Linked DNA regions of Rattus norvegicus. The protein of the gene in region 2 interacts with the protein of the main gene of each other region in a pairwise test. Links are inferred from orthologs where the notes say so. Each region holds a gene or a part of one and is shown on either strand. Other genes may lie near its edges.

Region 1 (4,722 bases), on a different chromosome or scaffold from region 2:
GTTCTCTTTATCCCTCATTCCCGAAAGAACTTTATCCTGTCTAATCCATTGTCTTTGTATTATACTTTTAAAAAAACACCCTCCTTTGACTTTAAACGTGTTTATGAAATATTTGCACCCTAAACGTTCATTTCTGCCCAAACAAAATATGCCAGAAAGAACCAGAAGCCAAAAGTTCCCAAGGGGTTTTGTAATAGGGTCTTTTGCAAAGTTCAAACACATTTAGCTTCCTCGTTCCTTCTGACTCCGAATTGCCACTGCTTCAGAAAATCACACACATTTGAGGAACTAATATTTGGTAAATGAACACAAATTCGTTTGTTTGTTTGTTTGTTTGTTTGTTTGTTTTTAGACAGAGTATTATGATGTAGCTCAGGTTGGCCTCAAACTCATATTCACCTGCCTTTGCTAGGTTTAAAGTATGGACCACCATGCTCAGCTTAAATATAATTTTGAAAGCATTTCCTCACTCTTTTCTGAACCTCGAGCCTCCAGCATAATTAGCCCCTTCTAATGAGTTGTAGCTCTATTTTTTATCTTGACATGAATGCGGGAGAGGAGAGGGGGAGTATCACTAAACTGCTCAGAGTGGCTTTGGACTCTTGGTCTGGCTGGCCTTGCTCTTGGGATACTTCTTTAACTGCTCCTCCTCACGCCCAGTAGCTAAGATTACAAACCGCGTCACCAGTCCGGAGCTCTTCTGAAAAATTTGAGAGGCTTTTTTGTATCTGTTTTACTTCCGCCTTTGGTTACAATGTTCCTGGTTAAGAGGTATCTTTGGGATTAACTTCCTTTATCAAGAGTCACAATGTTGCATTTGCTATGTCAAGGATCATAGTCGTCATTCTCTATAAATTAATACTTTGTGATCAAGCAGTTTAATTTTCCAAGAGAAACTGGCCAAAAAGGCAATTAGTTTCTACCTGTTGCAGGAACTTGGTCAGAGGCCCCTTTCCTTTTCCTACCCGGTCCCTCTAGTTTTCCCTTCAGTTTTCTGAATGCACATCGCCCTAGCCAGTCCTAGTCCCGATGCCTAGCCCTAGGATGGTTCGCAGTTCCCTGGACAGGACTCAGGGTTTAGGACTCGGAATGGAGCTTAGACACACCTCTTTGCCTTCCAAAGTGAATGAAGCGCTCAAGTAACACCGGAGGAGAAAAGAACGAAGTTCAGAACCCCAGTACCCAAGGCTACCCGGACAATCGTACCACCATAACCAGGACCACTATACCCTCCCCAGGACCACCCTCTCCCGGGTCTGCTTCTCTTTGGCTGCCTCCGGTTTCTCCCTTGGCGCGCGGCCCCTCCCCTCCCAAGCCTCTGCGCCCCGGCCCTTTCCTGCCCCAGACTCTCCCTTCCCCTTTCCTTTCGCTCTTCCGCCCCCGCTCTCCATCGCCCCTTTTGATTGGCCAAGCACGCCGGAGCCCGGCCGGCCAATAGGCGGACCGGGTTGGCGACGATGGGCGTGGCCGCAAAGCCGGGCCCTCAGATCGAGGCTGCCTCCCCCTCTCAGCCGGCAGCACATTCCGCCGCCGTTGCCGCCGCCGGCCCCGCAGTCGTCTTCGCCAGAGCTGCTGTGGTACCCGGGCTCAGGGCAGGCGAGGGCAGCCAAGGAGCGGAGGCCGGGGAGGCCGGGCGAGAGGAAGGGAGCGGACGGGCGGGCGGCGCAGGCGGCGGCCGGCTTCCTGGGAGCGTCGGTGCGGCGCGGTGGTTGGGGCGGATCCCGCGGGGCCCGGGCGGGGGGGGAGAGTCGCCGGCCCGGCCATGGCGGACAACGAGAAATTGGACAACCAACGGCTCAAGAATTTTAAGAACAAAGGCCGCGACTTGGAGGTACAGTGGGGTCTGCGGCCTCCGGCCCCGGCGGGACGCGGGGTTCGTACGGAGTCGGGCGGGCGCGGCGGCCGGCATGGCGCTGGGCGGGCGGGCGAGCGGCCGTGACGCGGGCGCCGCGCCGGGAAGTTTGTGCCGGGCCTGCTCCGCCTCCGCCGGCGACAGCGCCCGGGCCCGCCGGGTGCGGCCTAGGCCTGTTCTGCCGAGCCGGCCAGACACGAGTGCGGGCGGCCGGAATATCGGCTGCGGCGGAGGCCCAGCAGCGGCGGAAGCTCCGGCTCTGCTCCGGCCCCGACGCCAAGCGTCGCGGGCGGAGGGCGATGGGGGAGCGAGCGGCGACCTCGTAACTTCTCAGGGCCTAAGACGCTTCCACGTTCAGGAGGTTTTTCTAATCACCCCGACTCTGGTTTTACTCCAACGTCCAAACTACAGGAGTCAACTTCTCCGCTGGAAAGAAAAAAAAAAAGCACCCCCGCCTCTCGCGGGGGTCCTGGTGATGCTAGCAGTGCCTTCCAGCGGCCTGGGTTTCACTCTGGTCCTAGCTGATTCAAGATGTAGCTCACGATGTGCCCTTTTCCAGTCAAAGGATCGCCTATCCCCAACCCCTTATTTGAGCCTGTCCACAGATCTTTTTACTCCTCTCGGAGAAGAGATCACCAGTTTGCATTCTTACATAGAAAGCCCAAAGGGTTATTCAAAGCTGTCATCCTCTAGTCTTCAGTATTCTTTCCCTCCACCTCCTGGTGGTGATGGCAGTGAGGAATCGGGTAGGCTGTGGACTGACACCATCACGTATTATTTTAAAAGGGAAAAGAAGGCTTCGTTGTCATAGACACAGCTACTTCCAAGGTTCGATGTATTAAACACACAGTTTCTTTCCATTGTGACTTTTTTTTTAAACATAGGGAATTATTTTTTAAAACACAAGGCGTTCTAAGCTTAGAGTTTAGCTTCTTATCCCCATGTGTTCTTGTAACTGATCTTCAGACTGCTGTGGTCCGTTTCTGAACTTGAGCATTTGCGGGCTAGAGATGGCAACTTTTGTTTACTTTTCCCAATGCCATTCAGTCTTTTAATGTAGTTTGCACTGTTTTAGCTTATTGCAGTAGTTAGAACTGTATGTTCCAGGGTGTGTGTTCCCAGAGCTCGTTTGACGGTTAATGAAGCTTTGTGATCATTTTTTATAGTGAAAGAAATTTTTAAAATAATTTTTTTGGATTTATTTTATGTATAGGGGTGTTTTGTCCGGATGTGTGTGTGTGCATCCATGTGTGTGCCTGGTGTCCAAGGAGGCCAGAGGACAGTGGCCCATCCCCTGGAAGTGGAGTTACAGCCAATTGTGAGCTGCTATGTGGGTGCTTAGAACTGAACCACTGAACCATTTCTTCAGCTCCCAAATTTAATATTTTTATTGGAGTAATTTATATGTAACAGAAGCCAACTTTTTAAATGTATAATTCATAGTTGTCATTAAATTTGTATGTTGAACAATGCTGATTTATTTTTACTAATAAAAATATTTAGAATGGGAAAATCACAAGTTAGGAAATATAAAACTGATAAATACTGCAAAGTTAGAAATTTCAGAAAAATATCAGGTAGCCAACCAATCTAATTCTTTTGCTTCCTATTTCTAACAGGTTCCTTGAAATGTGATTTACATGCTATACAATTCACCCAGATAAAGTGTTTGGGTTTTTTTTTTAAAGATTTATTTATTGTATGTATGAGTGCACTGTCACTGTCTTCAGACACTCCAGAAGAGGGCATCTGATTCCATTACACATGGTTGTGAGCCACCATGTGGTTGCTGGGAATTGAACTCAGGGCCTTTGGAAGAGCACAGTGCTCTTAACTGCTGACCCATCTCTCCAGTCCATAAAGTCGTTTTTAATGTGTTTAAATAGTTGCACAATCAACACCTAAGTCAAATCTCCAAATATTTACTGCTCTTTAAAGAACCCCTGATATAAGTCATTCTTTCTCAGCTACTCCAGCTCAAAACAATGTTTTGATTGCCTATTCTGAATGCTTCATGTAAATAGAATGTACATTTTATGATATGTTGTGGCTACCTGACTTGAAGGTTCATCCATACTGTAACAAGAATGTTTCTTAGGTCTGAATAATGTGCTTGCCTATAGTTATACCACATTGTGTTTATATGTGTTCATCTCTATGGAACTGTGGTTAACCCTTTTTATCAGGTATATATTACTGGTATAAGCATTTATATACACATTCTTGTGTAACATGTTTACTTCTTTTGGTTACAAACCTAGAATGCTAGATGATACTGGAACTTTACATCTAACGTTTTATAGGGTTACCAGACTTACTTTCTCCCTTTCCACCCCTCCCTCTTGTTCTTTTTTTTTTGGACAAGGTCTCATTATGTAGCTGTAGCCCAGGATAGCCTTACACTCTCAATCTTTCTCCCTTATCCTCCTAAATACTATATTTTATTGGCATTATCCCTGATTCTCCCTCCCAAGTTCTGGGATTGCATGTGCCACCCCACCCTGTTTTAAGTTTTTGTGACTACCTGACAAATACACAAACACAAACACAAACACATACACACGATATTACCCTTACTATGTATTTCTTGCCACTACAGACTAATAAATACTGAATCTACCTGGCTACTATGATAGGTGACTTAAAGTTAGGTATAAATGCATATTAGACATATTTTGATATTATGTCGGTAGCCACTATCTAATGACTGGATCCATGTATGTGCATTAGAAATTAGAATATTTTCATTTTTCTACCTATAAATATGATGTGACTAAAAATTATTTCTGTGACTTACTCAAGATCACATAAGTGGGTGTTGTTCACTTGTAAATCATAGTATGTACAATGCCTTGGGTTTGATCCTCAAT
Region 2 (4,797 bases):
TTGGAAGAAGAACAAGAGAATCTCTGAGTTAGAGGGTAACCTGGTCTACAGAGTTCCAGGAAACCCTGTCTCGCAAAAACAAAAATGAATGAATGAATGAATGAATGAATGGAGTTAACCTTTCATTTGGAAAAGCCAAAAATTCCATAGATCTCCCTCACTTTGTAAAATTTTTGGGCAAACCTTTCAATTTCTTTCACCTGGTAAATCATTTATTTACACATATGTTCCCTTTTTTGTATTTCTGGAGACTGATGGCCCGAAGCCATCCTGTTCTTCTTTTTTCTTCATGTCATTTTCTCCAAGTCTTTTAGAACCTGCATAGTCTTGAAAGGTCAAAACACTGCCCACGGGAAAGACACAGTCACCACCTGTGTCAGAATAAAAGTCAAGACCAGAAGTGGTTACACTATCATCGGATCTCAGCATGCTGAGGGCAGAGGTAGGAGGATCACTGTGGGATGGATGCCAGCCTGGTCTACATACAGGCTGCATAGTCTGACCCTGACTAAATAAGTAGCAAAAAAACCAAAGCGAACTTCCTGCTTGCTACTCTGGTTTGGATTCAGGTGCACCTCCCTCACCAAAGCCAACTTCTTTACAGAACTGCTTTGCCTGTGCTTAGGAGCTCTGTCAGAGGAGATCATTGCGTGTTTGTTCCTAACACCAGGGAAGTGAAAACAGAAGGAACCTGGGGTTCAATGGCCCGCAAGCCTAGCCATGAAGGGCTTCCCATTTGTCTGTCTACCTACCTACCTCTACCTAGGTACTTATATTTATTGTTTTTTCGACAGAGAGTTTCACTATACAGCCCTAGCTGTCCTGAAACTTGAGTAGACTGGCCTTGCACTAGAAATACCGCCTAGCCCAAACCTTTCTTTAAAGAAAAAAAAAATAAAATAAAATTGGGAACACATAAACTCGCTGGACTGGAACATTTAAAATAAATCCTTTGAAAATGTCAAAGGTTTAAAGGTCTAAAGAAGACCTAAAAGATTATTTTTTATTTTTAAATCAGGAAATTTCCTGGGGTACTCTTTCCCTTTCTCAGTAGGCTATATACATTTTTGGCCTGTTTAATGTTTCTACAGTGTAACCAGAGCTTTACTGGCCGAGCTGAGGGGGTTAAGTAGTATCAAGCTATTGCAGGAAGTGGGAAACTGAGGCGGCTGGCCATTGGTTTTGCAGATTGTGTGACGACTTGGGCCCAGGAAACGGGTTTATAGGGGTCTAGGCAATTGCTCTTATAGGAGAGAACTATGGAAACCAGTTGGTTTGGAGGGAGCTGTTCACTGACAAGGCCACGTCCTTCCAATAGCTTATAGAATCTGGCAATGAGAGGGGATCTGAATTTGAAAATAACTGCAGACCTGTTTAGTTTTTAACACTTCAGGCGGCCTAGGGATTACGATCCTCCCTTCTCTAAAGCTTGTTTGCACTTCCCTTTTTTTCCAAGGCCTGAGGCTAGGGCAGGCCCTTTGCACCCGCTACCAGACTCCACCCAGGCTTTCCCACCTCCGTGCCGCGGAAATGCGGTGATCTGGCCGGACCTAGGATCTCTAGGAAGCACTGATAGGACGACACGGCCGTCAGTCAGGTCCGCCGGATACCCGGATGAGAAGCTGTGCGCGATACAAAGGCGAAAATTCCACCCAGCTTTCCGTCTGGTACAGTGACCAATAACCATCCGTCAGACACTAAGTGATAGAAAGCTTAACCAATTACTAAGTAGCTTTTGTTACGCATGTGGAAATTCTCCCAATTAGCCCAACCCACCTCGTGTGATGATTGGACGGAATTGTGAGGAGCGGTAACGCTATCTAATTAGGAGCGGGAGCGAGAAAAGTCACAGCCAATAGAAACGCCTCCGGGAGCGGGGCGGGGGCTGGACTTTTGCCTCGGCGGCAGAGGAGCTCGGGGGCCATTTTGTGAAGAGACGGAGAGCGAACGGTCGTGTGGTTCCTTGCTGTTGTAGCTCCGGCTTCTCGGCGTAGACCCGCAGTAGGAGAGGCAGGCTCTTCTCTCTCTCTCCTTCCTCTTGGTAAGCGGAGAGGGCGAGGGCAGGGGAGGCCCTGGGTTGCTGGGCCCCGCGAGGGGGTTGTAGGCGAGAAAACGGCCTCGCGGCAGAAACCGAGGCCGCGTTTGTTCCTGTGCGTTGGGGATTGGGTCTAAGGCGGGAGGCAACAGGCCTCGGCCTTGGCGCAGGTTCAACCTAGTGACCTCTAGGCCACGGTGCGTACGAAAATACCCTCTTTGCGCGCTGGTGTTTAACGGCTACTTTCATTTCCTTCCCCCATTAGGATTCCAAGGGGGAGCAGGGGAGCAAGAAAGCGAAGAACGAAATGCTTGTTAATGTAATTGTAGTGAATCTCTTACTCCGTTATTGTCTTCTAAGCTAAATGTCGGGCGTGGGTGGGGGAGCGATAACATGGTGGTGTAGTACTGGAAGCTTCTAAATTCCAGGCCGGCCACATGGCATCTGAACGGCGTTTTAACAATAGATTAAGTAGTGATTACTTTTTTCTTCAAGGGATAGATGGGTAAAAGTCGGGAGTGCTTTTGGTTTGTAAAGGGAAGTGCCCAAGGTAAATTGTAATTGGAATAATTACAGCTTTTTATCTGCAGGTTACAAATCACATAAGTTAGTGGAACTTTGCTTGAGGTAGGTACTGCTGTCCTAGAGAGAAGTGAGACTTAAAAGTGGTTGACAGGACCGGACTAAATCAGTAGTAGAGAAACTAAGATATTTCTAGGCAGGTCAAGTTACTAGAATAGACTATACACAAGAAGAGACTTAGCCGGTAGGTGGTGACAGTGCACGCCAAATGCCTCCCACCACTTGGGAGGCAGAGACAGGCAGATCTCTCTGAGTTGTGGGCCAGCCTGGTCACAGAGAGAGAGTTCCAGGACAGCTCGGGCTACACAGAGAAGCCCTGTCTCAAAAAGGGGGGTGGGGTGGGAATGAGTTTTTCTTTTTAGAGGAACCTGATACCGAAATTTACAGGACATTTTCAATCTGGACTTGGGAACAATAATTAAAAGGCACAGAAATAGTTTACAGATACTCCAGTATTAATCCTACCCATCTAGAATGGAAAAAAAGCAGTTTACAGCTAGTTATGGTAGTGCAGGCCCGGAATGTTTGCATTCTGGAGGTTCAGAGACAGGAAGATCCTGAGCAAGATCCCATTGCAAGGCAGCCCAGGACTACATAGTAAAACATGTTTAAAAATTAAAGTAGTTGCTCTCTTGTAGGTGTTGAGTTCTTTTTTTTTTTTTTTTTAGATTTATTTATTCTATATAAGTACACTGTTGCTGTCTTCAGACACACCAGAAGAGGGCATCAGATCTCTTATTACTGATGGTTGTGAGCCACCATGTGGTTGCTGGGAATTGAACTCAGGACCTCTGGAAGAGCAGTCAGTGCTCTTAACCCCTGAGCCATCTCCTCCGTCCGAGTTCTTTTAAATATAGCTAGTGATAGTGCTTAGGATTCAAGATGCCCAGGATTCAATCTCCCATACTAATAAAGGGTTTTTGTGTCACATTAACTTACCTGGGAGTTATTTCATTAGATAAACTTATTATAAAATTGGTATTTCACTCTGGCACAGTTTTTAATCTCAGCACTAGGAAGGCAGGAGATCTGAATGTAGAGTAAATCTAGTAATTCTAGGACAGCCAGGGCTATACAGAAAACAATGGGTTTGATTAAGTGACAAAAATATGCTACTAATCTTAGTTTAAACTATACACACATTTTACTCTTAAGCATACTTCATGGAATGTGCATGGCCTACTCTTGTAATTTGAGCACTTGGGGGATAGAGGTAGGAAGAGTTCAAGGCCATCCTTGGTCCAGCTTGGAGTATTAAGACTGTCTAAAGAAGAACAAATGCAGACAAAGGAAAAAAAAACAGCCTCCCACATTTTTTGTTTGGTTTCTCTGTGCAATAGGCCTGGCTTTTCTGAACCCACTGTCTTGATTAGGCTGGCCTTGAACTCTGATCCACCTGCCTCCGCCTAAGTAAGAGATGGGATTAAAGGCATGTGCCTTTAAAAAGTAGATAGAGTACAGGGTTTTGCCTGGTGAACAGTGAAAACTAGGTAAGAGAAAGTATTATAAATGTCAGAAGTTATGCAAGGTTACTGGTAGTAGTTGATGTATACTTGCCATTAAGTGTTATAAATGTAGGCCAGGCTTGGTAGGCACCTTGTTCTGGTAGAACATGTGGATTTCTTGGAGTTTTGAGGCCAGACTCAAATTACATTTTTGATTTGACTTGGGAGGAAGCTGTTAAAATTGCAAGGTTTGGATCTCTCATTTGCCATGGTCAAGCCATTTTCCAAAATGGTTGGTAATGGTTACTATTTTTTCTGTAGAGTAATTATAACATGTTTGCAATTTGATCTCTAGATTTATTGGCTTGTGATCTTGTTATAAATGGGCATGGCTGTTCAAGCAAGTAAGGAATATATTCCTAAATAGTTCGTTACAGTCTTATAGATGATGAGTGGAAGTTACTAACTAGGGAAACTACAATTGAAAAATCTTGGCTGTGTAAAACTATGTAAGTATCCAGTAAATTAGACTTCTGGATTTGTTTTGAGATATAAAACAAGCTAAACTACTACTTTATATGGAAATTTTGAGTTCTCATTTAACCCTAGTCATTGCTGAAAGTAGTTGACAAAATACACAAAAAATTGTCCTACCCCACCCCCACCTCTGTTTCCTAAATTATTACTGCCTCTTATTGGTGGAGTATGCACCCCAGTACTTGGGAGGCAGGGGCA

The links.
Region 1: the proteins of Hnrnpc (region 2) and Kpna4 interact in binary tests that used the Homo sapiens proteins (3 or more experiments, as listed by UniProt). The two-hybrid records come from large-scale screens. The link is inferred for Rattus norvegicus from reciprocal best matches to the Homo sapiens genes HNRNPC and KPNA4.

What each region holds. Positions count from the first base shown.
Region 1 is NC_086020.1:155,687,789-155,692,510, reverse strand, and holds the start of Kpna4 (importin subunit alpha-3), read left to right. Parts: upstream 1-1,759; 5' UTR 1,760-1,762; coding exon 1,763-1,831; intron 1,832-4,722. UniProt on the Homo sapiens protein: Functions in nuclear protein import as an adapter protein for nuclear receptor KPNB1. Binds specifically and directly to substrates containing either a simple or bipartite NLS motif.
Region 2 is NC_086033.1:27,279,806-27,284,602, reverse strand, and holds the start of Hnrnpc (heterogeneous nuclear ribonucleoprotein C), read left to right. Parts: upstream 1-1,887; 5' UTR 1,888-2,041; intron 2,042-2,625; exon of another isoform or gene 2,626-2,662; intron 2,663-4,797. UniProt on the Homo sapiens protein: Binds pre-mRNA and nucleates the assembly of 40S hnRNP particles. Interacts with poly-U tracts in the 3'-UTR or 5'-UTR of mRNA and modulates the stability and the level of translation of bound mRNA molecules. Single HNRNPC tetramers bind 230-240 nucleotides.